7 linked regions of the Cricetulus griseus genome follow. The protein of the gene in region 1 purifies or fractionates together with the protein of each later gene. This does not show direct contact. Links are inferred from orthologs where the notes say so. Each region holds a gene or a part of one and is shown in the gene's direction. Other genes may lie near its edges. The genes, in order: Smc1a, Plk1, Sf3b3, Wapl, Usp13, Pds5b and Cdca5.

What was found.
Region 2: the proteins of Smc1a (region 1) and Plk1 purify together in Homo sapiens (affinity purification with mass spectrometry; 3 studies listed by BioGRID and IntAct, with this or other methods). This does not show direct contact. The link is inferred for Cricetulus griseus from reciprocal best matches to the Homo sapiens genes SMC1A and PLK1.
Region 3: the proteins of Smc1a (region 1) and Sf3b3 fractionate together in Homo sapiens (co-fractionation; 3 studies listed by BioGRID, with this or other methods). This does not show direct contact. The link is inferred for Cricetulus griseus from reciprocal best matches to the Homo sapiens genes SMC1A and SF3B3.
Region 4: the proteins of Smc1a (region 1) and Wapl purify together in Homo sapiens (affinity purification with mass spectrometry; 7 studies listed by BioGRID and IntAct, with this or other methods). This does not show direct contact. The link is inferred for Cricetulus griseus from reciprocal best matches to the Homo sapiens genes SMC1A and WAPL.
Region 5: the proteins of Smc1a (region 1) and Usp13 purify together in Homo sapiens (affinity purification with mass spectrometry; 5 studies listed by BioGRID and IntAct, with this or other methods). This does not show direct contact. The link is inferred for Cricetulus griseus from reciprocal best matches to the Homo sapiens genes SMC1A and USP13.
Region 6: the proteins of Smc1a (region 1) and Pds5b purify together in Homo sapiens (affinity purification with western blotting; 8 studies listed by BioGRID and IntAct, with this or other methods). This does not show direct contact. The link is inferred for Cricetulus griseus from reciprocal best matches to the Homo sapiens genes SMC1A and PDS5B.
Region 7: the proteins of Smc1a (region 1) and Cdca5 purify together in Homo sapiens (affinity purification with mass spectrometry; 7 studies listed by BioGRID and IntAct, counting the BioPlex papers as one, with this or other methods). This does not show direct contact. The link is inferred for Cricetulus griseus from reciprocal best matches to the Homo sapiens genes SMC1A and CDCA5.

The regions. Positions count from the first base shown.
Region 1 is NC_048604.1:107,483,295-107,487,788, reverse strand, and holds the start of Smc1a (structural maintenance of chromosomes protein 1A), read left to right. Parts: upstream 1-1,395; coding exon 1,396-1,504; intron 1,505-1,584; exon of another isoform or gene 1,585-1,728; intron 1,729-4,494. UniProt on the Homo sapiens protein: Involved in chromosome cohesion during cell cycle and in DNA repair. Central component of cohesin complex. The cohesin complex is required for the cohesion of sister chromatids after DNA replication.
Region 2 is NC_048596.1:78,505,736-78,510,454, reverse strand, and holds the start of Plk1 (serine/threonine-protein kinase PLK1), read left to right. Parts: upstream 1-1,707; 5' UTR 1,708-1,797; coding exon 1,798-2,199; intron 2,200-2,944; coding exon 2,945-3,113; intron 3,114-3,742; coding exon 3,743-3,887; intron 3,888-4,565; coding exon 4,566-4,659; intron 4,660-4,719. UniProt on the Homo sapiens protein: Serine/threonine-protein kinase that performs several important functions throughout M phase of the cell cycle, including the regulation of centrosome maturation and spindle assembly, the removal of cohesins from chromosome arms, the inactivation of anaphase-promoting complex/cyclosome (APC/C) inhibitors, and the regulation of mitotic exit and cytokinesis.
Region 3 is NC_048596.1:187,212,237-187,216,164, reverse strand, and holds part of Sf3b3 (splicing factor 3B subunit 3), read left to right. Parts: intron 1-749; coding exon 750-872; intron 873-1,763; coding exon 1,764-1,918; intron 1,919-2,532; coding exon 2,533-2,707; intron 2,708-3,763; coding exon 3,764-3,928. UniProt on the Homo sapiens protein: Component of the 17S U2 SnRNP complex of the spliceosome, a large ribonucleoprotein complex that removes introns from transcribed pre-mRNAs.
Region 4 is NW_023276807.1:184,661,899-184,665,826, reverse strand, and holds part of Wapl (wings apart-like protein homolog), read left to right. Parts: intron 1-2,568; coding exon 2,569-2,687; intron 2,688-3,928. UniProt on the Homo sapiens protein: Regulator of sister chromatid cohesion in mitosis which negatively regulates cohesin association with chromatin. Involved in both sister chromatid cohesion during interphase and sister-chromatid resolution during early stages of mitosis.
Region 5 is NW_023276806.1:116,475,334-116,479,261, reverse strand, and holds part of Usp13 (ubiquitin carboxyl-terminal hydrolase 13), read left to right. Parts: intron 1-620; coding exon 621-743; intron 744-1,272; coding exon 1,273-1,299; intron 1,300-2,059; coding exon 2,060-2,203; intron 2,204-3,928. UniProt on the Homo sapiens protein: Deubiquitinase that mediates deubiquitination of target proteins such as BECN1, MITF, SKP2 and USP10 and is involved in various processes such as autophagy, endoplasmic reticulum-associated degradation (ERAD), cell cycle progression or DNA damage response.
Region 6 is NC_048597.1:86,593,202-86,597,129, forward strand, and holds part of Pds5b (sister chromatid cohesion protein PDS5 homolog B), read left to right. Parts: intron 1-1,374; coding exon 1,375-1,480; intron 1,481-3,928. UniProt on the Homo sapiens protein: Regulator of sister chromatid cohesion in mitosis which may stabilize cohesin complex association with chromatin. May couple sister chromatid cohesion during mitosis to DNA replication.
Region 7 is NC_048596.1:53,258,348-53,261,800, reverse strand, and holds the end of Cdca5 (sororin), read left to right. Parts: intron 1-892; coding exon 893-1,318; intron 1,319-1,484; coding exon 1,485-1,565; 3' UTR 1,566-2,360; coding exon of another isoform or gene 2,361-2,390; 3' UTR 2,391-2,590; downstream 2,591-3,453. UniProt on the Homo sapiens protein: Regulator of sister chromatid cohesion in mitosis stabilizing cohesin complex association with chromatin. May antagonize the action of WAPL which stimulates cohesin dissociation from chromatin.

The DNA.
Region 1 (4,494 bases):
AGGAGGCAGAGACAGATGGATCTCTTGAGTTCGGAGGTCTGCTTGGTCTACAGAGTGAGTTCCAGGGCAGCTAGAGCTACACAGAGAAACCCTGTCTGGAAAAAAAAGTTACAGGAATAGCTGTGGAGACCACCTTCTGAAAATGGCACTAGCCTATAAATTCAAACTGTTGCCATACTATAAGGCCACTAAAGGGAAGCCTCAGGGTTGCTAAGAGCATCACTTAGTAATGAGCAGGCATAAGATAATAGAAGGTGGATGAAAGGATGAAGGCTGGAAATGAGCAATGAATGGATAAGGGCAGGGTATTAAGAAGAGAGAGGAGGGCCGGGCGTTGGTGGCGCACGCCTTTAATCCCAGCATTCGGGAGGCAGAGGCAGGCGGATCTCTGTGAGTTCTTTTGAGACCAGCCTGGTCTATAAGAGCTAGTTCCAGGACAGCCTCCAAAGCCACAGAGAAACCCTGTCTCGAAAAAAGAGAGAGAGAGAGAGAGAGGAGGGGAACGGAGAAGCCAATGAGGGAGGTAGACAAAGGAGATGAGAGTGAAGAGAAAGATGGGGATGAAGGTACAGTGCCATAGACATATGATGCAGGCGGAATGGGATTGGGGAGAAACACGTAGTAAGGAGAAAGGGGAAAAGGACAAACTGGAGCACTGGCTTAAGGACTTGGACCCCTGGTGTTCACACAAGACACCTTTCTCAGTACAGAATTCTAATTTTCAAGCTCGTAAGTGGATTGGGTCCAAGTTGGCTCTAGGATTTACATGGCAGCCTTTGAATTCCGCTTTGGGAAATAAGAGAGAAGCAGGCGATAAGGGCAGTATCTCAGAACACAACTTTCCCCAACTTCTATTTCCGTTGTCAAGGAGTCTAGGAGTGTCCTCATCCTCCTTCACACTCCAATCTTACCTCACTCAAGTCCTCCCTAAGATCCGCCCTTCTAGTCCAAACTGCCCACCCCTCCCAGGGTGCCTTCTAATTTCCGACTGGAGCCCTAGACAGCCCAGACTACAAACCACCGCCTCCTACTAGTCCTTAGCAACGGGGAGGGCATAACCTTGCTGTGACTTCTGTCTCAGCAAGCGTGGGCTCAGGCCCCGCCTGCCTTCTGATTCTCTCCCAAAGCGATAGTAGTCCTTCTGGGGACTAAAGCTTCCCCAGTTCAGTCCGTTACCGCTTTGACTGTTGCAGAGCAACGACAAAGGGGGGCGGGGTCAAAACACCCACGCACGAGCCGGAAGTGACTGGCCTCTGGCCCCGGAAATCCTCATTGGCTTGTACTTATTATCGCGAGGTTTACCGTACACCCGGCTTGCACCGCGGTATTTCCCGCGCGGGCTAACCTCGGTTCCCAGGAGTAATCTGCGGCCTCGCCTACGGTAGCGCCGCTGCCATGGGGTTCTTGAAGCTGATTGAGATCGAGAACTTTAAATCGTACAAGGGTCGACAGATTATCGGACCATTTCAGAGGTTCACCGCCATCATTGGACCCAATGGCTCTGGTGAGATGATAAATCCGGCTGCGGCCCTGCTGGCGTCGCGATCCGGTCCCCCTGTCCATCTCCAGAATAGTACAACCTACCCCGTGCAACCTGAGACGCTTGAACCCTAATATGTTCCTTGCTCTCCTTGAGGGGGGATTCGACTCGAACTCTCTCCCGCTTCTGCCATATGCTTAACTCGAGCCCCTTCCCAAATGTCAGGTGGCCGAGTCTTGTGCAAACCCCCTCTCTGGGCAGAATGGTATGGGCGGGACTATGGGTTGCCTCGCCCACAACCCCTCCCGCCAAAACACGCTTTCCTGGAACTTGCTGACAGTTGTTTGGCCTGTGGCTCCTTTCTGCTCTGCGTTGTACCAGGTTCCTGGTCTCAAGTTCGACACATTTGGGAAATTTTGGGAATGTTGTCTCTGCCTTGGCATTCGGTCCCAAATAGTATACTTTCTGCTTTAGCCAGCCCCACTCCGCAAACGCGACTCTCACTGGAACGCTCGTTTTTCCCTGTGTGCAGCTGTGACACTTTTGGGATTTTAGACACAACACTTCTCCCAGCAGAGTGGGATTCCGTTTCTCGCCCCTACACACCTAAGAGATGTTGCCTTGATTTGCCGCTTTCCTACCAGGAAGCCCTAATGAGCCTGAACTTGTTTGTTTGCCAAATTTGTTGAGTGCTTCCGGTTTTATCGGTTAAGTTTATGCGGAAAATAAGTCAAGTCCGTGATCCCAGGAAACTTATTTAGAGGAGAAAGAAGTTAAAGTACAAAATATAATATTCAGGCCGTTTTAAATGCTCTGAAAAAAAGGGGTTAAAGTTGATAGCTTAAATTGACTTTGGTAGTAGGTAAGCCTACTTTTCCAGACTTAAGCCTGCTATCGCAACATCTTTTTTTTTTTTTTTTCCCCGAGACAGGGTTTCTCTGTGTAGCTTTGGAGCCTATCCTGGCACTCGCTCTGGAGACCAGGCTGGCCTTGAACTCACAGAGATCCACCTGCCTCTGCCTCCGAGTGCTAGGATTAAAGGCATGCGCCACCAATGCCTGGCAATCCAGCTGTTTTTAAAAGGCCCTTGGCCCGAGTCCTTACCCTCTCTATTATTTTTTTTTTTTGAGACCATATCTTATGGTTTCAAATTTCAAATTTCCTTATGGTTTCAAATTTCCCCTCCCCAAGTGAGTATATTCTACCACATCTTCCTTCTGCATATCTTTCAAAGTTTGGCTCTGTGAAGCATCCCTTGAACCCTTGGTTCCCACTTTATAAATTGCTCTTTCTCTCTGGCACACAGACGGAAATTTCCCTCCCTCCCTCCCTCCCTCCCTTCCTTCCTTCCCCTTCCTCCTCCCTTTCTTTTTGGTGTTTTGAGGCATGGTTTCTCTGTGTAGCTTTGGAGCCTGTCCTGGAACTCACTGTGTAGATAGATCAGGCTGGCCTTGGACTCACAGAGATCCACCTGCCTCTGCCTCCTGAGTGCTGGGGTCAAAGGCATGTGCCAGCATAGACTATTTTCTGTCACAAATTTATAGTACCTGTGTCTGTATCTTCATCACTAGTGTATGAGTGTCCTCAAGAAGCCATTTCTTGAGATGTTTTGTTAGTGAGACTTTGTTAGTGTTCACGAAGCACATTAGAAAAAATGTTTACAACACTGAAGAATTGAGTAAAAAGGCTTGTAGTTGTAAGGTGTTATCCTTGAAAAAATCAAGGAAGAAGCTCAAAGGTTGGAAATTGATACTTGAAAGATGAATTCCAACTTATGTGCTAGTTCTGCTGTAACTGGAAGTGTGGTTGAATCTAGACTGTATAACAATACATCTGTCCTTCCATCCACCCATGGCACGGTTTCTCTGTGTAACAGCCCTGGCTGTCCTGGAACTGATCTGTAGACCAGGCTGGCCTCGAACTCACAGAGATCCACTTGTTTGTGCCTTCTAAGTGCTGGGATTGAAGGTGTGTACCACCACCCTGCGGATCTGCTGATTGTTGAACGCCAGGTTGATCTTGGTTTTTTATTGTTCATTTGTTGAGATAGGATCTCATTTCAGACTGGTCTTAAATTCTTACTTACTTCAAGGATGGCCTTCTTATCTTCCTGCCTCCATCTCCAGAGTGCTGGAATTACAGGTGTTCACTTCCACCTGGTGTAATACAGTGTTTGGGTTTGATCTGAAGGCCTTGTACATGCTAGATAGGCACACACTCAGCAGGGTCACATCCCCAGCCTCACAAGGTTTATGTTTTTAAGGTGTTTAACAAACAGTAACAGAATGAAGGACAAATGAGCAAGGATCTTGGAGCTGGATGTTGTAGGGAGACTGTTTTTATCACCCTGTCAGTTGAAGTAAAGAACTCACTGACAGTTTAACTTGAGGAATGACTAGGTTTCTTCCTCTTTAAAGTAGAGGAAATGCCTATTTCCTAAGACTTTTGGATAAGCTAAATTGGGTAATTAATGTGAACATGAATCACAAAGTTGCATGAATCATGTGATGTAGTATTTTTAAGAAAATAGCTGATTCTGCCTTGGTATTTTAACAAGTATTAAAAAGAGTTCAGGATGCTGTCAGATGAAAGAGAAGGCTGTGGAGATGGCCCAGTCTGTAAACTGCTTGCCACACAAGTATGAGGACCTGAGTTTGAATTCTCAGTACCCACTTAGAAAGCTGGGTGTGAGCCAGGTGGTGGTGGCGGCACATGCCTTTAATCCCAGCACCTAGGAGGCAGAGGCAGGTGGATCTCTGTGAGTTCAAGACCAGCCTGGTCTACAAAAACAAAAAAAAAAAGCAAGCAAGCAAGCTGTGTGTGGTGGTATATACTCATAATCCAGAACTGGAGAGGTGGAGACTGGAGGATACCTGGGACTTGCTGGCCAGCTATTATAGCTCAGTTAGTGAGCTTCTAGGCCAAGAGAGATCCTGTTTCAAAAAAATAAGTTCAACAGTTATTTAAAAAAAGACACCCACCATCAACCTCTAGCCTCCATATGCATGCACATA
Region 2 (4,719 bases), on another chromosome or scaffold:
TAAACAGGAGCCAGAACTATCTTTAGAAAGTGAAAGACCATGAGTAGAACCCCTGGAGTTAAAAAAGCACAGCATTCTGACAATTTTAGACTTAAAATAAGATCAAGCAGATCTTAATCTTTATAATCAGACTGCCACAAAAGAGATGATGGGGGAATCATTCATATTTTGCACCTGTGGAATGGCAGACACTCAGCAGAAAATATTTAATCCTCTCAATTGTCAATAAAGTAGGGATTTTCACAACCCATTTTACAGAGGAGGAAACTAATTATCAGAGAAGTTGAGTAAATTTGCCTAGTGCTGCACACCAGAAAATTGGCTGAGCTGCATCAAAAGCCAGCTGTTATCTGGGTGCAAAGTCCATCTTATATGCCTTTGTCCCCATGTCCAGGGTGGCAAAAGCAGTTGACTCAGTGCCAAGCACCTACCTGGTGTGTTCAGAGTTTCCACAGAAGTCAGACGGGCAAGTAGGCAAAGGGAGTGCCTGGAGAACGGCGGCCAGAGTTGACTTTTTTAGGAAAGTCACTCACCTGCACTGTGTGGCCATTCCTTTTAAGTGTTGTAAATTTTTTTTTTTTTTTTTTTAAATGAAGGCCAACAAACACCCCTGCTGGGCAGATTTGGCCCTGCTACTTTGCTAGCACTCTCCAACCAGCCATCCCTCCCTCTGACTAAAAAAACTAGTTTTCTCTATTTGGAGCAACTTAGGACAAGCCAGGTAACCTTGCATTCATGCTCCTAAATTTGCTCCGCGAACCTGGCCGGGCCGGTGCAGAGATCTTGCTCTGCTCCTCTCCTCCCCGAATTCAAACGCAGCGAGAGGGGGGAGAGAGCTGATGCTTTTCTTTTTTTCTTTTCTTTTTTGGGTTTTTCGAGACAGGGTTTCTCTGTGGCTTTGGAGACTGTCCTGGAACTATCTCTTGTAGACTAGGCTGATCTCAAACTCACAGAGATCTGCCTGCCTCTGCCTCCCGAGTTCTAGGATCACCTTGTGTAGGAATCACCTGACAGTCTTGTTTGACCTGCAGGTCAGACCTGGGCGGTTTCTTTCCTTCGAGGGTAGGGGGGAAGGAATGTTGCCTGGTAGCTGAGGCTGGCCTTAGGCTAACTTGCAATCTTGAACCCACGCTCCTTCTTAAGGAGTTCCTGGGTGTTGCAGATACTGCTGACCCCTGGGTTTTACTGGAGAAGTCTAGAGCTCCTTTCAATTCGGGCTCCGGGAGTGGTTGCCACAGAGCTTCCTTTTGCCTGCCAGACATGCTGGGTTTGTTCAGGTTTGGGTTTATATAGACTAGCCAGGGAGACGGCAGTCGAGGGCGAAGGCGGTGCACTGCCAAGCTACCTCTAGGCCTGGAGTTTCAGATCTAGAAGGCCAGGAGGAGTGGAGGAAGGTGTTAGTTAGGTCCTAACTGGAGAAGCCTCTGGAGGAGGGGCATGAACCACAGGAGCATTCTCTGGCCGAGGAGCAGAAAGCCGGACCGAATTCTGTCCCCTGGGTATTTCCGCGTATTCCATCCGCTCCTAGTTTCCCAGGGTATCCCACGTGCATTTAATCCTTAAGTCCCAGCCCATCAAGTTTCTCCTCACAAGATCGGGGGTTTAAAAGCGGCTGCGCCGTAGAGCACTCCCATGGTGCCGCGCGCTGGGCGGGTTTGTATTTTAAATCCCCGCGGCCAATCAACAACGCGCAGGTCCTTGTAACGTTCCCAGCGCTGCGTTTGAATTCGGGGAGGAGCGGAGCAGGGCAAGATCTCTGCACCGGCCCGGCCAGGTTCGCGTAGCAAATTTAGGAGCATGAATGCAGCGGCCAAAAAGCTGGCTCGAGCACCAGCCGATCTCGGGAAAGCTGGGGTTCCTGGAGATGCAGCTACCGGTGCCCCAGTGACCGCCCCGCTGTCGAAAGAGATTCCTGAGGTCTTAGTGGACCCACGCAGCCGGCGCCAGTATGTGCGGGGCCGCTTTCTGGGTAAAGGAGGATTTGCCAAATGCTTCGAGATCTCGGATGCAGACACAAAGGAGGTGTTCGCAGGCAAGATCGTGCCGAAGTCTTTACTTCTCAAGCCCCACCAAAAGGAAAAGATGTCTATGGAGATTTCTATCCACCGCAGCCTCGCACACCAACACGTCGTAGGCTTCCACGGCTTTTTTGAGGACAGCGACTTTGTGTTTGTGGTTTTGGAGCTCTGTCGCAGGAGGGTGAGTGTTTCTGCTGTGGTGTTGGGGCGACCACACCGGGAACTTGCTGGCAAAGAGGCATCGACGCCTTGGAGTGGCCTAGAGGAGTGCTTGGGTTTCAAGCAATTATGAAGGGGCTCCTGGTGAGGGTGTTTGGCATTCCGAGCTGCTGAGGCCGGGGGTTGAGGGCAAGCGGAACCCGGGACCTGTTGCTATTATTAGGGAAGGTGGCTCCTGCACGCAAGACTGCCAGTAGGTGCAGGAAATGGGTGTTTAAAGTGATTAACAAGGGTCCCAAGCTACGGCTGCCGCGGACCTAGAACTTCCGGAGTGGAGTGGGGCAGGGTCTGGAGTGGGGGAGGGAGGAGAGGCTGTCTGGAGTCAGACCTCAGCTTTCAGGAAAAGGAGAGGGTCTCCTGCTGGGAGGAAGCCCCTAAATAAGGGGTTGAGAGAAGACGCTGGGTAAGGGTACTCGTTAACAGGAGAGGGGTCCTGTGAATGATAATGGCCTGACCAGTGTATGGACAGAACCATTAGGAGCCTGCCAAGACATAAGAATTATGGGTTAATAAGTGGAAGAGTTAGCTAAGCCTGTACTATAGGCCGAGCATTTATAATTAATATAAGCCTCAGAGTAGTTATTTGGAATCGGCTGGTCGGGATAGGAAACTTCCGTCTATACTTTACTCCCGAGGGTTTAATCTTGGCCACATCCAGCTGGCCACCCTTTTCCTTGGGCTTAACTACCTTCTTCCCTCTTCCTCAGTCTCTCCTGGAACTGCACAAGAGGAGGAAAGCGCTGACCGAGCCCGAGGCACGCTACTATCTACGTCAGATAGTCCTGGGCTGCCAGTATCTGCACCGAAATCAGGTCATTCACAGGGACCTCAAGCTAGGCAACCTCTTCCTGAACGAGGATCTGGAGGTGAAAATAGGTGAGGTGCTGGGCCTGCGGGTGTCTGGTGCCAGTACAAGAGGTGGCAAGGAGGGGAACTCTGGGAGAATGGGAGCCAGAGAAGTGGAAGGTGGGTGGGAAATGGAGGTGCTGCCCTCCAGAAAGCCTTCTTGTCCAGAAATGGAAAGTAAGTGTCCCACAGGCCAGTGTTTTGCTGTCCCTTTACTGAGCTGAAAAGCACCTTTTCCCTTGAGACTCTGATTTGCCTCAGTCCCTATACTCCTGTCACTTTTCTTAAACTTGTCACAGTCACAAAGAATATTTACTTGATTCCCTAGTGCATCCAATTCTGCTATCCTATGTATTTTAAATTTCATATATGTGGGGTTCGAGATAGAAGGTAACTTTCTGGAGTCAGTTCTGTTCTTCCATTGTGGGTTCCAGGGTCAACTCAAGTTGTTAGTCTTAGCGGCAAGCACCTGTACCTACTGAGCCATCTTACTTCCCTAGCCCTGCTATCTAAAGAGGAGTGTAAAGGGCAGTGGGAAGGTTCGGGAACAGAGACTGGAGTCTTGAGGCACTGGCTCTCTATGGTCAGTCCTGAGGCAGTTGTCTGCAGCCACAAGATGGCCTAGCAGCTAATCACCTCTCTTCTTCCCTCTGTCCCAGGGGACTTTGGGCTGGCAACCAAAGTGGAATATGAAGGTGAACGAAAGAAGACCTTATGTGGCACTCCTAACTACATAGCTCCCGAGGTGCTGAGCAAGAAGGGACACAGTTTTGAGGTGGATGTGTGGTCCATTGGGTGTATCATGTAAGTTGGGAATGGACTCAGGAGCTATTGGGTCTCAACAGGATTTTCTGAGGCATTTCATCCAGTTGACCTTTCCCTCTGGATCCCACATGAAGCCCCTTTTCCTTATTTATCAATCTATAGCATTCCTGTAGCTTGGACTTATGGTCCAGGGAAGGGACCAAATGTGTCTACACTTCTTCCTCCAGCTCCTTGCTGCTTACTAAAAGCATGCACTAACCCAAACCATCAATACCTCTGAGGGTTTGTTAGGATGTGGAAATCTCAGTTCTGGACCTGGGTCTAATAAAATCCCTGGCTGACTTTCAGTAAAGCTTTGGAAACACTGATGAGTGCTGATGGGAGAATCAGATCAGCAGAAAGGTTCATGGTAGGCAGAAGCTCCATCATGGTGCTTGTGCCTGTGGCAGATAGCAGTGGCCTCTGCGGTTCTTGAGGAGTCCTCTATTACTGCAGGCCAGAGCTGGGGAATCTCTAGCGCTTGGTATTCAGTGTTGTCACCTGCATTCTTCTGAGGGCTTATCCCAGCCATTGGCTTCTATGAGACTGAGCAGACTTGGAGATCAGCCTCATCCGTTCTGAGTCAGTGAATCCAGCCCAGCTCCCTTCCTCTAGACAATGACTTCTGCATTTGGACTTTTCTGGGAATTTGAGCAAAATCCTTCCTTGTGCCTCCAGGTACACCTTGCTAGTGGGCAAGCCACCTTTTGAGACCTCATGCCTAAAAGAGACCTACCTCCGGATCAAGAAAAATGAATACAGCATTCCCAAGGTAATGGCACCATAATGCTTTAATTTATTTTATGTTCCACCCAAAATCTGATCACTGAGC
Region 3 (3,928 bases), on another chromosome or scaffold:
ACATTCATTCATAACTGTTTTGAGTAAGGGAAAGAGTAGTTAAAAGTGCTACTGTTCACTCTGGTTGCATCCCATTAGGAAGCTTGTGAAGTCTGGAAATATTTGTAATCCAGTCTCTGTAAGACAAAATGAGGTTTAGTCCTTTGTTATAAACATAGTTTATACAGGAAAAGGATAATGGCTCTCTTCCCCATCCCCTTCTTTAGTCACTAATTTTACAGATAAGGAGTTAGGGCCATAACAGTCATCCTTTAGCTGATAGAGATTCCCCTTGAAGTTAGTCTATTTGACTCCACTATATTGCTGCCTTCTTGCACTGGTGGATTCTGTTTGCATCATAAACATTCTTGCTTCATCCTTGAATCTGTCATCCCTAAAAACCTTGTTCCTTTTTGTGGAAATGATACTTAGAGATACCATAGTCAGTAAATATTGATTTTTAGCTGTGGGTCTGTTTTTAAATTATGAAAATAATTTAACAAACACAAATTTTGATATACAGGATGCATATACATGTATGTATAGTGAGAAGTAGTTTTTACTTAGATGCTTAGTAACTGAGAGAATGAATGAACTGTTGATTATTGGGGTGTTATATGATTTGTGTTATATTTTTACCAATAAGGTAGTTATACTTTTACCAATAAGTTACATCCTTCAATTGTCTGTTAAAGTAGCCAAGGAAAAATCTCATAATTGAAAAGTTTCCATCATAAGTAGGCTTTACCTGTTCATATCTTTTTGATTAGAATGGTGTGCTGCTGAGAACTGTTCTAGACCCTGTCACTGGGGACCTGTCTGACACTCGAACTAGGTATCTGGGGTCCCGTCCTGTGAAACTCTTCCGAGTCCGGATGCAAGGCCAGGAGGCTGTAAGTAATAAAAAGACATTTGGATATTGGTGCCAATAAACTTTTTGACTAATTCATTTGTAGATGTTTTGATATTATCTCTGTCTTGATTGGGAAATCCTGGGTTCTTTGGGGGGTTTCAGACGATTTCTTTGTGTAGTCCTGGCTGTCCTGGAACTAGATCTTATAGACCAGGATGGCCTTGAACTCACAGAGATCTGCCTGCCTCTGCTTCCCCACTGTTGGAACTAAAGGCATACATCGCCACTGCCTGACTTAATCTAGAGTTTTCTAAGGGGTATTCCATGACATGGCACTGTGACTTTATGAGGCTATTGGAGGTTTCAGTATTGAACCTTTGAGTCTTTTCTTTAGTCTGGGCTATCAGGGATGGGAAAAACTGGACTCCTTCCATTCAAGGCAGGATTATAGTCAAATTGTGACTCTCCTGCCTAATAAGAAAGAGCCTTGTCTTTGTAGTTACCCTATTTAATTCTACAACTGTCCAGCCTTGTAATAGAATCTCTCTCTCTCTCTCTCTCTCTTTTGGTTTTTTCGTGACAAGGTTTCTCTGTATAGCTTTGGAACCTATCCTGGCCCTCGCTCTGGAGACCAGGCTGGCCTCAAACTCACAGAGATCCACCTGCCTCTGCCTCCCGAGTGCTGGGATTAAAGGCATGCACCACCAACATCCAGCCTAAAATCTCTCATTTATACTCCAGAGAATTATGATTGATATAGTTTGATGTTTTTGATTTTTCTATACAATAAGCCTTGTGCTCTCTCTTCTTTGGGCTCCCTTTGCTGGCTTTGTAGGTTTCTAAAATTAGAGTCTGCTGTTGGGGTTATATGTTTGGTCAATATACAATGTTTGAGCTTTTCCCACTCTGATTAGGGCTCTTTCCTCTCCAGGTTTTGGCCATGTCCAGTCGCTCGTGGTTAAGCTACTCTTACCAATCCCGTTTCCATCTCACCCCTCTATCTTATGAGACTCTGGAGTTTGCATCTGGCTTCGCCTCTGAACAGTGTCCTGAAGGCATTGTTGCCATCTCCACCAACACCTTGAGGTGAGAAAACATGTTTGGAGCCCAGCAGGAAGCCTTTCTGCCAAGCATTCTGCCTGTGGTTCTGCCAGAGTTGGAGTTTATACAATGATGGCTGACAGCTGCCTCTTTTCCAGGAAAGGGTGTTGCACTTGAAACAGGATTTCAGAACCTGTGAGCCAAGTTTCAATGCTTGGCATTTAGCTTCTGTTTAGACTTTTTGGAGCCAAGTTTTAAAACTTATTACACTATAGTCTTTCTGTTTCCTGGTGAAATGGTCGTGTTACTGGATTGGTTTTAGAGCAAGTGTTAAATCTCTTAACAGAATTAAATCTTAATTAATTAATTTGTTGGATTTTCCAGACAGGGTTTCTCTGTGTAGCCTCAGCTGTTATGGAACTAGTTCTGTAGACAAGCTGGCCGCAAACTCAGAGATCAGCCTACCTTTGCCAAGTGTATTTTGGTATTTTCTTTTTTCTTCGTTGTCATGAAGTCTTTTAAGCACAGAGCTTTTATCTCATGCTGTCTAATGTCATTGTTAGAGCCTCAACAGTTGTTTGCTGTGGCTGGTCATGGTTCATCTCATCAGTTCTTAGGCTGGGTGGTAACTTATTTAACTCCCTTGTCTATTCCTATAGGATTTTGGCATTGGAGAAACTTGGTGCTGTCTTCAATCAAGTAGCCTTTCCATTGCAGTACACACCCAGGAAATTTGTCATTCACCCTGAGAGTAACAATCTTATCATCATTGAGACAGACCACAATGCCTACACTGAGGCTACAAAAGCTCAGAGAAAGCAGCAGATGGCAGAGGTAATTACTCTGTCCTCCAAAGGTGCAGTTTTAAAAAAGCCTGCCTATGAAATGGTTTAGGAAAGTTGAAATTTTAAACATCTCTAATTGTCTTGCGCACACACGCACACCCTCCCTCCCTTCCTCCCTCCCTCCCTGTCTGGAGATAGGGTCTCAGACCATAACTCTGGCTCACTTGGAACTCTGGGTGATCCTTCTCCCCAACTTCTCAAGTGCTGGCATTATTTGTGCACTAGCAAACACATCTGCAATATTTGTTGTTTATTTTTTAATTATTTTGTGTGCATTGGTTTGAGGGTGTCAGATTCTCTGGAACTGAGTTACAGACAGATGTGATCTGACATGTGGGTGCAGGGAATTCCTAGGGCTACAAAATAAGAGATAAAGTTTTGGGGGACCCTAAAGCGAAAACCATAAACCAGGACCTTTAAGGGAAGTTTTTTACTATTTTATTTGCTTTTGGGAACTTTCTGTGACCGAGGACAAATATGCTATCCTGGGTTACTCAGAATTTAGCTCCCAGTGTGGAACTGCTCTCTAGCTCTTAAGCCTCCAGAAGATGCTGTGTTATATGATGCCTGAATTTGAGCACAGATGTCGTTATTTCCTCTACAGCACCACCTCGTCTAGAAACTATTAAATAACCAGCTGTGTGGAAACCATATCCAGTTGGAAAGAGAGGAGATAACTGGTTTGGCTAGGGAAAGCAGGAAGGCATTTCTGAGTTTTCAGAAATGCAGATAATTTGCCACAGTTAATGTTCTTTTTGGCATTTTCTGCTCAGATGTAACTACTGGTATTTGATTTTCCCATTTAATGATCTCCTTATTTGTGCATTTTTCCTTGACTTTTTTAATTGTGTGTTTGAGTGGTTGAATGCAGACATGAATATGGTGTTCTGCACCTTTTGTAGAAGCTGAGGATCTAACTCAGATTGTAGGCCAACAGTGCCTCTGCTGGTGGAGTTGAACCTCTGTTTGGGGGATCCTGGTCTTAGGTGATAGACTTTTTTTTACTGCTTTTCCTTTTTTACCTCTTCTTGCTTTCTGGATTTAGGAAATGGTGGAAGCAGCAGGAGAGGATGAGCGGGAGTTGGCTGCAGAAATGGCAGCAGCATTCCTTAATGAAAACCTCCCTGAATCTATTTTTGGAGCTCCAAAGGCTGGCAATGGTCAGTGGGCCTCTGTGATTCGGGTGATGAACCCTATCCAGGGGAATACA
Region 4 (3,928 bases), on another chromosome or scaffold:
TCCAAACCAGGGCCTCACACATAATAAGGTCTGCCACTGAAATATACAGCCTTAGGCCAGTGTAGGCATTTGGTCTTTGGACCTTTGGGTGTGGCTTCAGGCGAACCTAAGCAGAAAGAGAGGAGCCTGAGGTGTGGCTTTTCATTGCTTGCTCCTTCTGTTGGGTCAGTGGATCAGTAGGAAGAGCAGAGAAACGCTCTGGTGGTTCTTTGTATTTTTCTGTGTAATTGTCCCCAATAAACACCCATTTTTCATTTTTCTTGGGTCTAGTGATATAATTACATCCTTGCCTTCAGGCCAGCACCTGTGAATTTATATGAGAATTTTAAACTGTTGGGACAGAGATACCAAATATCTTGTTTTAGCTTTGAAAATCCAAATGCAATGGAGACATAAGGATTTTGGATAATTAGAACTGTACTGATAAGAGATGGTTTTATGAGGGAAATACTCAAATTAATTAAACCCTTTGTAAGTAGCACAAAACTAAAAAAGAAAAAAAATTTTTTTTTTTTTTTGAAACATTCTCAAACCCTCTTAAATTGTAGTCTCATAAGATCAAAAGGTATGCTGGGCAGGTGGATCTCTGAGTTTTAGGCCAGCCTGGTCTACAGAGTAAGTTTCAGGACAGCAGAGCTACACAGAAAAATCCTGTCTGGGAAAAACAAAAACAAAATAGATTGTAAAGTACTGGGTAAGAATTCTCTTTTAATAATGAAAATTTGTCTCTTAAGACTGTAGGCTCAATGATAAGATTCTCTTAGGAGTTGAATCTCTCTCTCTCTCTCTCTCTCTCTCTCTCTCTCTATATATATATATATATATATATATATATATATATATAGGTAGCTTTGCTATAATTAAAGCTTTACTTGAAAAGGGTGATGTGTAGAGGATTCACTTATGTGAGGAAGAATTTGTGAAATAAAAGGTCTTTTCAACCAAATACAGCTTTGCTATATTGGTTTAATTGTTTAAAAAATTTTTTGTCCTGCTAAAGTTGTAGACATTTGTAATTGTGGTGAATTAGAATTTCCATAGTATTTGTGAATTTAGATTCCCAAATAGAGTATATCATACTTGACACTACCTGCTACTTAGCATTTTTGGGTCTAAAAGTAGTTTGCATGGTTTTGGGGGTGATTTGTACAGGGGAAACATGCTCTATGACTGAGTTACACTCTCAGCCCAGATAAGATTCATCCTTGGTTTTAACTGGAATTAAAGCAGGAACTTCTAGAGCCTCTTCAGTTCCCTAAGAAAGTATAGTTAACATTTATCTAGTGTTATCATCAGCCTCTTCTGGAAGATTGCAGTTTGCAGCAGCCTCACTAGACACTTGAGATCTGGTCATAATGCTGTGCAGTACCTACACTCTTGTCCTGCTGCAGTTTATTTGACTTTTAGGCTCAATTTGTATAGTAAGTTATTCTTCTCATCTGCAATTTAAAATCTGTTACATGTTGTAATAATAGGACTTCAATTCTGAAATGTGAAAAATAGACTAACTTTGAGAAATGAAGTTTACATGAACATTTCTGCAAGTTCCCAGGCAGGTATGTGTAGGCATACATGTAGGCAAAACACTCATATACATAATATTCATCTAAAATTTTTTAAGAAATGATTATCTTTATAGAAGCCAGCAGCCTCTTACAGTTTGAACAGTGTCTTTGACTTTTGAGAGCCACACCAAATTACTTATCTTGCATCAAAGCATTCTATATCCCCACCCAGCACAAATGCATTCAGTGAGTACTGGAAGCATGCAGTGTTGACACCAGACCACCTGGGTTTGGAGTCTAGCTCTGCTACATCAGCTCTGCTTAGCTGGCTTCCAACAAGTATTCTTTTAAGTTAACATGATTTCATGAACTTAAAATCTAGAAATAGCCGGGCGTTGGTGGCGCACGCCTTTAATCCCAGTACTCGGGAGGCAGAGGCAGGCAGATCTCTGTGAGTTTGAGGCTAGCCTGGTCTCTAGAGCGAGTGCCAGGATAGGCTCCAAAGCTACACAGAGAAACCCTGTCTCGAAAAACAATAACAACAAAAAAAATCTAGAAATATGTGAAACTTAGGTATCATTTGATATTTATGAGTTTGATATAAATTATATATCTAGCACTCATATGTATCTGGTAGTTACATGATCTATGAAGTTCAAATTTTATTTTGGAAAAAATTTAAAGCCAGACATAGTGATGCATGACTGTAATTTCAGTATTTGGGCAGCTGAAGCAGAGGGATTGCCATGAGTTTGAGCCAATTAGGGATATTTAGTGAATTCCAGGCCACTATGGGCGCTAGCTACAAAGAGCCATTCTCAGTAAAAGAGAAAATATTTGTTTTTGTTTTGTTTTATGTTAACACAAAATAAAACTAGAACACATGTTTAACAGCCAGGTTTTGAAGTAGAAGGTGAGGATTAGAGTAGCTTTTCAGCTGTTGCTGCTTTTAATCTTTCATTCATTTCTCACCCTAACCCCAATATTATGTTTAAAAAATGGCCTTAAGTTTTCTGATAACTTGAAATACTGGAAAGCTAGCTAGTTTTGATTACCGTTTCAGAAAACTTGGATTTTACAGAGGACTTGCCTGGTGTGCCTGAGAGTGTGAAGAAGCCCATAAATAAACAAGGCGATAAATCCAAGGAAAATACCAGAAAGATTTTTAGTGGCCCCAAACGGGTAAGTAAAGCACTATTATTTATTTATCATTAGAGGACTCATGTCTTATTTAGGGTTTCTAATGCTGTGAAGAGACACATGACAACATTTAATTGGGGCTAGCTTGCAGTTCAGAGGTTCAGTTCATTATCATCATGGTGGGTCATGGCGGCGCACAGGCAGAAAATGGTGCTGGAAAGGAAGCTGAGAGTTCCACATCTTGCACAGGAAACAGGAAGTGATCTGAGACACTGCGTCGTTTGAACACGTATGAGACCTCAAAGCCCATCCCCACAGTGACAGATGAATGGACGAGCATGCGTGTGTGTGTGTGTGTGTGTGTATGAGAGAGAGAGAGAGAGAGAGAGAGAGAGAGAGAGAGAGAGAGAGAGAGAGAGAGAATACTATTAAGCTGTAAAGAAAAATTAATAAAAATTAGCAGGAAAATGGACTTAGATTAGAATATGTGATATTAGATGAGTCCATACAATCTCAAAAAAAGTGTTCTTACATTTGAAGTCTAGCCATTAAAAAATATATGTACACACATATATACATACATATGTATATAAATAAATGTACATGTGAGCACAGTATAACATGTAGGAAAGAGAACAAGTATTGCTAAATGTTAGGGAATGACGAAGGACTGAATTTCTAAGCTATTCTGTAAAGAAGAGAAGTTCAGTGAGTTAATCTTTGGGCCTATGTTAGGTGTTTGATTTTTTTTTTTTTAATTTGCAATGTTTTGTATAATAAAGTGGTAAAATTTAATTAAAAAGAAATTCCATATTAGATACATAGTTTGCAAGTATTTTCCCAGTTCTTCGTGTTGCCCCCCCTCCTTGCCAATTTTTGATTTTGTTTTTTGGTTTTTTCGAGACAGGGTTTCTCTGTGGCTTTTAGAGGCTGTCCTGGAACTAGCTCTTGTAGACCAGGCTGGACTCGAACTCACAGAGATCCACCTGCCTCTGCCTCCCGAGTGCTGGGACTAAAGGCGTGTGTTTAAAAAACGCCCTGTGCCGACTTTTTAAATTTTTGATGAAGCACAACTCTTTTCCTTTTGTTGTCTGTGGTTTTAATATCAAAGCTGAGGATTCATTGCCAAATTCGGTGTAGACTTTCAAAACTGTTTTTCGCTTATGGTTTGTAGTTTTATTTAGGTTTTTGATCTATTTTGAGTGAATTTTTGTGCATACTGTAAGGTCGTGATCGTGATCCACCTTCACTTTCAGGCATTGCAGCATGTAATTTAATATAAC
Region 5 (3,928 bases), on another chromosome or scaffold:
AGGTAGGAGTTTTCAAACCCAAATGTGCAACAAGGATAGGGAAGCAAAAGGCAGGAAAGAAGAGCTGCCGGGTAGAGGCCTACACAGCCTCCTCTCATGGTGGGCTCCATTGTGTGTAATAACATAGTTCAGAAAGACATCCTCTCCCATATGCATGATGTGCATGTTTGGGACAGTCCAGAGCTGTGGGGTCAGTGTGAAATGGTCACAGAGGCCACCATTGTCCAAAATAGAAGTTAAAGGGAAACCCAGACTGTTTACATGGGAGAATGTGCTGCAGCTTCATGGTTTTTGAAATCCAGAAGTCTAAATTTTAAATTTAAATCATGTCCATATTTTAAGAAACACAAAATGGAATGAGTCCAGACCACAGATAGCCTGGTTGCTAGTCTGTGAACACTGGCTTATCTGACCTATTGCTGTCCAGTGTGATGCCTTTGTCCCACCACTCTCTGCCCTTTCCCTGAGCCCTCCATTAACTTTCATGTGGCTTGACAAATCTGCTGTGCTCTGTGTCCCTTAGGCTGCCAAGATACATGCATGCAGTGAACACATGCAGATTTATAATGAGCTGATTTGGGCTCTAGAGAGTCCAGTGAATATAATCTTTTGTTTTGCAGATGTTTCTATTGATATGCCAGACCTACTAGATATCAGCCATCTTAGAGCCAGGGGCTTACAGCCAGGAGAAGAGGAGCTTCCAGACATCAGTCCCCCTATAGTCATTCCTGATGACTCAAAAGGTACCATTTCCTACTGGAAGGATACTCTTTCCTTACCACCCTCTTCCAGCCAGGAGGAGTTACTGTTTCACCATTAAACTGCTCCCTGTCTTTGACCTAGACACATAGGAATGAAGCATGGCTGCAACTGTATACTTCAGACTCATACACTATGAGTCATTGATTTGGGCCCTGGTGGCAGAGGCTCCTGAAAGGGCTTACAGACAGGTAGTGGTGAGCAGTAGGGAAGCCAGGATGGCTTTTCATACTTCCCCTATAAATCATGTCCAGGCCAGAAACCTTGCTCTTGGAAATAAATGCAAGGATTGAAATTATTTATCTCACTGAGATGTCAAAACTTCTTGTTTTATTTGCCCAAAATCTGCTGTTTCCCCTCATTACTGTAATTAATGAACTGTTTTGCAGGTAGTGTGTGTGGGGTAACCAGGAGTGAGAGGGTCTGGGAATATCCTGGACTGATGCAGTTTCTTTTTTCTAAAACTATTGGTGGTGGCTAGCTCTTATTTATCATCTGTTCTTTCATTTCCAGATCGCCTGATGAACCAGTTGATAGACCGTAGGTATCTTTAAAAGTGTTTTTTGGTGTCTTACAGTTGTTGCTAGTATGATATGTTTTAAAGATTTGTTCATTTTTATTTATACATATGGGTGTCTTGCCTGTGTGCATGTCTGTGTACCATGTGAATGCCTGATGCCCACAGAGGCCAGAAAAGGGTGTCAGATTCCCTGAAACTAGGGTTAGAGAGGGTTGTGAGCCACCATATGAGTGCTAGGAACAGAAAAAACCTGGGGCCTCTGGAAGAGTAGTAAGTGCTCTTAACTTCTGAGCCATCTCTTCAGCTCATAGTGTAACTTTTTTTTTTTTTTTTAAGTAGTAGTTCAGCAAAGTAGCATTGTTCTGTCCTGGATATATGTGGTTGTTCCTGGGTGGAACTGTCTGTAAGTTGAGTAAGCAACAAATGTAGACCAATGAAATGCTGCTTAAGTATCCCTTATTGCTCAGGAGGATTAGTGTAGGCTTGAAAGCTTGCAGTCCTGTGGGGTTTTGCTGCTTAGGACTGTGTGGCCTGGAACAATTTGTTTCTTATTCTATAGGCCTCAATTACCTCATTTGTAAACTGAGGTAATAATACCATTTTTTTTCTCATGAATAGCTCAATAGTTAGATGACATAAAAAGAAGTCAAATTAAGACCCAACAAAATGGATCTGTCTTCAGGTAGTCTGTAGATTAGATAAGGGGTTGAAGAGTAATGAAGACAGGAGGAAGTGGAAAATTCTGTTTTTCATGGTGGGATATCCTGCTGTGCTCTGTAGCCTCAGACATTGATGAATCCTCCGTGATGCAGCTGGCTGAGATGGGCTTTCCTTTGGAAGCCTGCCGGAAGGCTGTGTACTTCACTGGAAACACTGGAGCTGAGGTGGCCTTCAACTGGATTATCGTGCACATGGAGGAACCTGGTAGGTGGCCATATGGGAGTACTTTGGAGTTCATGTCCCCAAGGATGTGTCCCCAAAGATGAGTTTTCAGATGGTAACATGCTACTGTTTGGGCAAAGTCACAATCTTAATCTCTTAAACAACAGCTTTCTTGGAATAACTTCCTCCTTAAAGGTGTCCACACTTCGTTGACCAAAAGATCATTAGAAAGATGTGGTGTTTATTTTAAGCTTGAAATAGAAAACTGAAGAAATGGAGGCCCTTTCCTCAGCTTCTTCTTTTGTCTACTTTCTGAAGATGTCATTTATATATCCACCTATCAGAAGTGTACATTCACATGGATTTTAGTCACTTTACAATTAAGCAACTGTCTAATTCTAGAATATTTTTGTATAACAAAAGAAATGCTAGATAGGAGGTATCTTGGTGGTTTGATTGTAATTGGCCCCCATAATCTCATAGGGAGTGGCACTATTAGAAGGTGTGGCTTTGTTGGTGGAAGTATGTCACTATCTGGGTGGGCTCTGAGGTTTCCTATGCTCAGGAAGCTGCCCAGTGGCTCAGTCTACTTCTGTTGCCTGTAAGATACAGCACTTTCAGTTCTGGTACTGTGTCTGCCTGATTGCCTCCATGTTCCACCATGATGATAATGGACCGAATCCCTGGAACTATAAGCAAGCCACCCCAATTAAATGTTCTCTTTATAAGAGTTGCTGAGGTCATGGTGTCTCTTCATAGCAATAGAAACCCTAATTAAGACACTGCCTCTCCCATGTTCTTACTCTCTCCAGTGCTTAATCTTCACTAATCTACTTTCTGGGTACCCTACAATTGTTATGAATTTGCCTATTTTTGATAATTCATATGAATGGAATTGTACAACATGAGGCCTTTTGTGTCAGGTTTCTACCGCTTTTCATAATGTATTTAGGGGTCTTATGCTGTAGCATGAACAGCACTTCCCTTTTATGGCCATGTAGTGTTCCATGTATAGCCATACCACAGTCTGCCCTTTTATCAGAGGATGACAGTCATTTGGGTTTTTTCTGCTCTTTGGTGTTTATTAATGGGGCTGTAAACATAAACTTTTGTGCATATATAGATTTATGATTTTGTTTCTCTTGAGCAGAATTGATGTAGTTCTATATTTAACTTTTTAAAAATTGTCAATTTTACCCAGTGGCTGAACCATTTCATACTCTTACCCATGATGAATGAAGGATTCAATTTCTCTGAATTCTCACCATTAGCAGTTTTGTTATAGTGGCTTCTGGGTGTACCATGGTGGTCACTGTGATTTCAAGAGGTATTTCCCTACTGACTAATAACACTGTGGGTATAATTAGTTCTTTGCCTTTTATTGTTAAGTTCTAAGAGTTCTTTTTAAATTTTAGATACAGGTTTCCTCTCAGACACATTTTTTTTTTCTTTTTTGGTTTTTCAAGACAGGTTTCTCTGTGTAGCTTTGGAGCCTATCCTGTCACTCGCTCTGTAGACCAAGGTGGCCTCAAATTCACAGAGATCCACCTGCCTCTGCCTCCTAAGTGTTGTCAGACACATAATTTGCAGAGATATTTTTCTGTTCTATGTCTTCACTTCTTTGATGATGTCTTTCAAGTAGACAGTTTTTCAATTTTGATGAGGTATGATACATCTACTTTGTTTTATGAATTCTACTTTCTGTGTCATATACAAGGGATCATTGCTTAACCCAATGTTACAAAGACTGAATCTTGTGTTTTCTCT
Region 6 (3,928 bases), on another chromosome or scaffold:
CCATTTGACCCAGGTTTGGTTCCCAGCATCCCATAGCTGCTCACAGCCATCTGTAACACCAGTTTTGGGGGGATCTGACACCCTTTTCTGGCCTCTGCAGGTGCTGCATACATGTAATCTATAGACATACATGCAGGCAAATCACGAATACACTTAAAATTCAGGGGCCAGAGTATTGGCTCAGTGTGTAAAGGCACTTTCTATCAGGACTGATAATCTGAGTTTGGTCCCTGGGACTAACCTGGTAGAAGGGGAGAACCAACTTCCTTGGGGTGTCCTCTGTTCTCCACACGTGTTGCAGTGCTTGAATGCATATGCACAGTAAATGAAAAGTGTTTTGTTAGGGTTAGGGTTTGGAGGTTGGACAACCTCCAAAGCAATACAGAGAAACCCTGTCCCATTAAATTTGCACTCTGATAGAGGTCATAGAGCAGTGTTGCAGGGCCTTTACTTTGGAATGACTTCCTAATCACATTCATTTGCATTCATTAGGAACTTTTTGAGAAAACATAGAGCATCTTAATAATGCTCATAATAACTTGACATGGGGTGTGTATTTTATGTTTGAAGTTTTACTATCTATGTATAAACTTTGTTGTTTGTTTAAAAAGTAGTTTTAACAAGGATTTTTTTTTTTTTTTTTTTGTAAAGTTGTACCTTCTTATTAGAGCTTGAGATTTGAGTTCAGCAGTTTGTAAACAAATAGGTTTGTTTTGAGACAGGGTTTCGCTGTGTAGCTTTGGAGCGTGTCCTGGAACTCACTCTGTAGGCCAGGCTGGCCTTGAACTCACAGAGATCCACCTGCCTACGCCTCCTGAGTACTGGGATAAGCAAAGGATGATGCAGAAGACTAGAACTTTCTAAGCTTACGAGAGCATGTGTTTTACTTCATTCAGCAAGTCTCTTAAGTGCCTCCTTTGAGCTCTGCACAAGTTTACACACTAAGTGAAATGGTCAAAAATCAGTGCTTATGGTGTTAAGGGGAAGAAGAAGTCAAGTAAGACATGTAATTACTTTGCATGCTATTGCTACAGAGAGAAGTAAAGACGAGGGCAAGGAAGGGCAGGCCAGGGCTAAGCTGCATGTGCTAAGCTGAACATACTAACAACAGGTTTTACTTTCCATGCTTCTGCTTCAAAATGGAATCTAGTTTTCAAAACATCATGTGGTAAAATGAATTTATTATTTATTTCCTTAATTTATTAAATGAGCTACATTGCTTACTGATTTGGTGCTAAATATGATAGGAAAAATTATCTTTAAAATGAATGAAGTCCTTGCTTATGAAGTTATAATGCTATGCAATGAAGCAATCAAAAAAGGCTTTTCAGGTTATTTGATTGTAGAAGTAATTGCAGATATCTCTGTTCAAAGGCTTGATAGCTCTGAAATGGATCACAGTGAAAATGAAGATTACACAATGTCTTCACCTTTGCCAGGCAAAAAAAGTGACAAGAGAGACGACTCTGATCTTGTAAGGGTGAGATGCTTGGTTGACTGTGTGATGCTGTTAATAGTAATAGTTTTAGTCATTTTTGCTCTTTAGCTAGATATTAAAATCGCAGTCAAATGTGGCATGTGATATACTTTTTGTGACTTTAGTTTCAAATTTGATATTATAGTTTAGTTGGAGTTTATGTGATTCTTGTCTTCAGATAAATAAAATAATCTAATTCTTTGTCTTTAGAGTCAAACATGTTAGTTCCATATTCAGAACTATTTGCTTTCCTTTTTCTTTTTAAACCCAGTATTTTAGTCATGGCCTTAGGAAAAGAGTGGAATGTAGGTCCCAAAGTCTACCTTCTTCTTTTAGAAAAGCCCTTGTTAAGTTTTAATATATTAGTAGAAGTGACTATAATTTGTAAATGTTACTCGAAGACAGACAGATTTGGTGATATTTCAATGAGAAACGGAATTCATACTCCAATCCAGCCCAGCAGATTTGGTAACTGGGCCATGTGGACTCCCCAGTTGAGCTGTGAACATTTCTGGAGTAGCTGACTGAGCTTTCTGAGTCTGTTTTCTTGTCTATAAACTGGATAGTTTATGCTTTCAGCCTAATAATAATAATGAATTATTATTCATTAATTGAATAAATGAATTAGCCCAAATAAATTGTTGATGCTGTCTCATTGTTAAAATGATTTATGCCGTTGAGCAATAGTTACCATATAACAAGTATGTCTGACTCTAATTCAGAAGCAGAGGCAGGAGTTATTAATAAAATAATTTTTTTTGCTTTCTTTGGAATTTTATTTGCCCTTTTTGTCTCCCACTGACATATTTCCATTATTTTCAAGTTTCTTCAATTTATCTAGCCAATTGTTTTATAATTAAAATTTTTGCTAAATCCTTATTAGCTATACTGTCAACTAGTGTTAAAAGTTTGACCCAGCGGGCTGGCTTAGCAGTTAACAGTAGTTGGCTGTTCTTTCAGAGGTACCAAGTTTGACTCTCAGCACTGTCTTTAACTCTAGTACCAGGGCATCCAAAGTCCTCTTCTGACCTCCACAGGCACCAGATATTCGTGCAGGCAAAACACTCTTACACACTTTTAAAAGTTTTACCCAAGTAGAATTAAAAACTAAAAGTTAGAGAAATGTAGGATCTATAAAAGAAAGGAGTCTTATTGCAAGGTTTCTAGAAGATCATTTTTTTAAGTTAGTAAAAATATTTATATTTTTTTATTTCTGTCCTAGTTAATCAAGAAAATCTTTATTGTAATCATGCTTAAAAATGGAGTAATTGACTAGTTCATGATTTCTTTTTTTTTTTTTTTGGTAGCAGAAACAAGAGTGTTTGAAATTTGAGGCCAATCTTGGCTTTATAGTAAGCTCCAGGCCACCCTGAATGCCACAAGGAGGCTGTCACAGGCACACTTGCCCATGTCAAACACACACACACAAACAACCAAGGGCCAGGGGTGTGGTTTATGCTCAGCTGTCCTATACAACGCCCCAAGTTTGATTCCCCAGCACTCGAAAGGAAGATACAGAAAGAAGGGAAACATGCCCATGTATATGTGTTCGTGCACAGTACTAGCATCACTCTGCATTTTACTACACTTCAGATGGGTCCTGTTCATCACAGTAACTTCTGTCGTACTGAAAGATAGGGTGGGTATACAGTCTCAGACAGACCCTTAAACAGAGTAGTTGGCACTTGTGTGGGAGAGCTCAAAACCAAGAGACTTATGTGTTCTTCTGTGAGAAAAAAAAAAAAAAAGTTGAAATGGTGATAGTTTTCTCCTAGCTGAATATGTAGTAAAACTTCGGTGATTTTTTTCTAATGTGGAAAAATTAGTGGACATTAAAAGGGGACAGTATAACTGGCACCAGCCCAACAAGACGCAGGTGTGTTTATCTGTGGCCAGTGTACTGCTGCTGCAGCCCCTAGACACTTTTTCCTAGGGTGGGCAAAGAGTCTGTAATGTTAGAAATTAAGTTCCTACAAGGAAGTGGGGATTCTATCTTCTTTACTCACCTCCATCAGATTATCCCCCAAAGGCCTCCTCTCTCATTGGGATATAAAGGTTTCAACACATGAGCGGCACAAACTCAGACTATACCAACAAGAAAATAAAGGGTAAATATATTTAAAAGAGTAGATGAATATAAGTAAAAGTATGAGGTTTCCCAGAAAACAATCCAGACAAAAGAAATACCAAGAATACCACCACCACCTGGGGCTATTATTTTTGAAACAGTCCCATGTTACCCATTCTGGCTTTGAACTCAGTATGTAGCCTCTGATGCCTCCCCTTGTATATGCTGGAATTACAACTGCCTGATTTTATGAAGTGCTGAGGATCAAAGACAGTTTTGTGCGTTCTAGGCAAACGTTCTAGGCATTCAGTCACTTCCCCCAAGTTACAGTGTTTGTTGATTTTTTTTATTATTTTTTTTAAAGATTTTATTTATTTATTATG
Region 7 (3,453 bases), on another chromosome or scaffold:
TAACGGATGGTTGTGAGCTACCATGTGGTTGCTGGGAATTGAACTCAGGACCTCTGGAAGAGCAGTCAGTGCTCTCTTAGCTATCTCTCCAGTCCCAAAAGAACCTTTTTTTTTTTGGTTTTTTGAGACGGTTTCTCTGTGTCTTTGGAGGCTGTCCTGGAACTAGCTCTTGTGGACCAGGCTGGTCTTGAACTCACAGAGATCTGCCTGCCTCTGCCTCCCGAGTACTGGGATCATAGGCGTTGGCCACCACCGCCCAGCTTGTTCTGCTTTTTAACCCACCCCCACCCAAGTTTTCCTCATGTTTTCAGTGCCACAGTGAAAGTGCTGAGGTGCCAGTGTTTTGTTTTGTTTTAAGTTTTCCCTGATATATTCCCGGTGCCCAGAACATTCCCTGGTGTGGGACAGGTCACTAATAGATATTTATTGGTCAAATGAACATCTTATAAAAATCTTTAGAAGCTATATGGCAGATGACCCTGGAAGCAGGCAAAACAATTAGGAGGCTGTCAAGCCAGTTTAGGTATGCTGGAACTTTATGTCAAGTAGCAAATTGTTGCTATATGCCAGGTACATTTGAGGGTGGCAGCAAATGTAGTGAATCTTGTCCTAAGTCAGCTTCTCCAAAACAGTAGTGATTATCTCTTTTTTTCTTTCCAACAGTGGAGGTAGAACCCAGGGCTTATGCATTTCTGGGCATGTGCTCTATGACTGTTTGTTGCTTAAAATCTGTCCTGGACTGGGGATGGAACTCCTCAGCACAGTGTTTGTCTAGCATGCACAAGGTCAACCATAAAATACACAAGAAACGTAGAAATCCTGTGCTTTGTGGGCAGTCTTTCCATCCTGAATCCCCGAGCTGACAAGAGTTCTCTCGCCTGTCCTGATACAGATCTCTTTTATCTTGGAAAAAGAAAACAACCCTCCTCTCAAGGTACCCACAAAGGAGGACCTCTTCAAGACCTGTAGTGTCCCTGGTACCCCCACCAGCACCCCAGTGCTGTATACTCAGAATGTTGAGTCTAACTCTGAGGAAAGAGAACTGGACACCAGAGACTTGGAAATGTCCCAGAAAGTCAGGCGATCATACAGTCGGCTTGAGAGGCTCAATGCTGCCTCAACCTCCACCCCTGGCCGCCGATCCTTCTTTGGCTTTGAGGGACTTGAAGACTTGCCCCAAGTCTCACCTGTCGTGAGTTCAAAGTTAATTGAGATCCCCAAAGTATCTTCGAAGCCCTTGATTCCAGACACAACGCTTCCTGGAATCTCTCCTCCAGTCATGAAAGAGAAGCGAAGGAAGAAGGTGCCGGAGATCCTAGTGAGTAAGGGGCGGGGTCTCTCCCACAGATGCACCGTATTGGTTGGGGGGAGGGGGGCAGGACTCCAGGTTTTGAGGGAAGGCAATTCCTGAGGTGTGGATAAGTAACATTCTCTGGGCAATGTGGCCGCTTCCCCACTCAAATGCCCTCATTTCTTTCTACCAGAAATCGGAGCTGGATGAGTGGGCTAAGGCCATGAATGCTGAGTTTGAAGCTGCTGAACAGTTTGATCTTCTGATTGAATGAGATAAAGTGGGGGTACACCTGGCTAGGCTCTCCCCTCTCCCTGTACATATTGACTTTTGAGTAGAGCAGGACTTGTTACCCAGAAAGGTGTAGCTGGCCCCTTGTTATATTGTGGCTAGTTACCCTGGACTTTCTTCACAGTATTGGGGATGAGAAGCTAATTCTGTTACAATCCTGCACTGTCAGAAACAAGTTCATCGTGGGTTATCTCTCTGGTGTTGCCCTCTGTTGGTGGCTTGGAGTCCTAGAGTCTGATAGGGAGCTCACAGGCTAGAGACAGTTAAACTCTTGAGGAAATCTGAATATGGAGTCTGGGATGTGAAAGAAGGAGGTAGTCATAGTTTTTTTTGTTTGTTTTTTTAACACGAGTGACTGTTAAGTAGGAGCTGTTCATGTCTGTGTTCTGCTGTTGACACATTGGTGAATGAGGTACTGATGTCTAGGGCAAAGTAAGTATACTTCATGGTATGGGCTCCAGATGCCACCAACTTGAGATTTGTGGTCTCTGGTCACCCTTTCCTCACCCACATCTGTTTCTTTCAAAATGAACTGCACAGTCTTGGCTCTGGGATGTGGCTTTTTTCTCAGGAGCCATACAGCTGTAGCACTGATGACAGCTTTTGCTGTGAGCTTGACTATTACACTTTCACACGAGACCATTCCCGGGGGTGGGGGTTGCTGGGAACAAAAGTAGATGTCTCATGGTCTCTGCGGAAGTGCTTCCTGCCTACCATCTCCTCTGGATGATAGTAGAAGATATGGTTTCAAAGGGCATTGGACTTCCAACATATGCAGGTTCATTGGAGAAGAAGCTGCATGGAATGAGAGTTGCAAGCAAGCACCTGTACACCAGGATGGTTTTGAGCGGAGCACATCTGAAGAATTTGTCCTCACTGGTCCCTGTGGACCGTGAGCTGGACCTTCTGATTGCTGCCATCACTACAGACCCGTCTGTCTTTGAGGAACTAATGTACAGCCCAGGGGAAAGGTTTGATGTCAAATAAACTTTTAAAGAGTTTTGTTTATAGACTGCTTTTTATTTGGTCAAAGACAGAGCCACTGGTGTGAAGCCCTGGATGCCATGTCATTGGACTGTGTCACCAGGGCTGTTCCTCTTAAAATTTGCCAACCTGGCCTCCCTCCAATGACTGATGCCTTGTGCCTCCAAACTAGGGTTTCCTGAAATGAAGGCCCAAGCCCCCCTGTCCCAGGGGAGGTTTATGGAATTGACTACACTTCATCCCTCTCCCTCTTTTCCTAAGGCTCCATCCATCATAGGAGCCAGTGGCTCAGGTATAATAGCTGTTCCTAGATGCCACCCAGCAGCTGATGCCTTGTGCCTCCAAACTAGGGTTTCCTAGTTTGGGCACCCCTGAGAAGCAGATCAAAGATGTGATTCCTTGGCCTGTTGTGCAGATGTGAGCGTCCCAGCTCATCCTCTGCTGAAATTTAGGCTTTTAAATTTCCTCCAGAGCCCTTCCTGAACCTAGAATATCATCTCAGCTCAACTGGCCAACAAGACCCAGATCTGCCTATCTCACCCTTTCCCTGGTTCTAGGCAGATAATATTGCCACATTGGCTTTTATGTTTGTGCTAGAGACCTGAACTCAGATCTCTATGCTTGCATAGCAAGCACTTTACCCACTGAGTCATCTCCTTTGCCCACACCATCCTGTTACATTCTTGCAGTGTATCTGTGTTATTGTAATTTAAAAGATATTGGCCACCTGTGCTACTTTTAATTCCAGCTCTCTAGGAAGGCAGAAACAGGCAGATCTAAGTTTGAGGCCAGCCTGGTCTTACATAGTGTGTTCCAGGACAGCCAGAGCTAGGGAAATCCTGTCTAAAATAAACAAAACCAAAAACTGTCAGGGGTGGTGGTGGTGG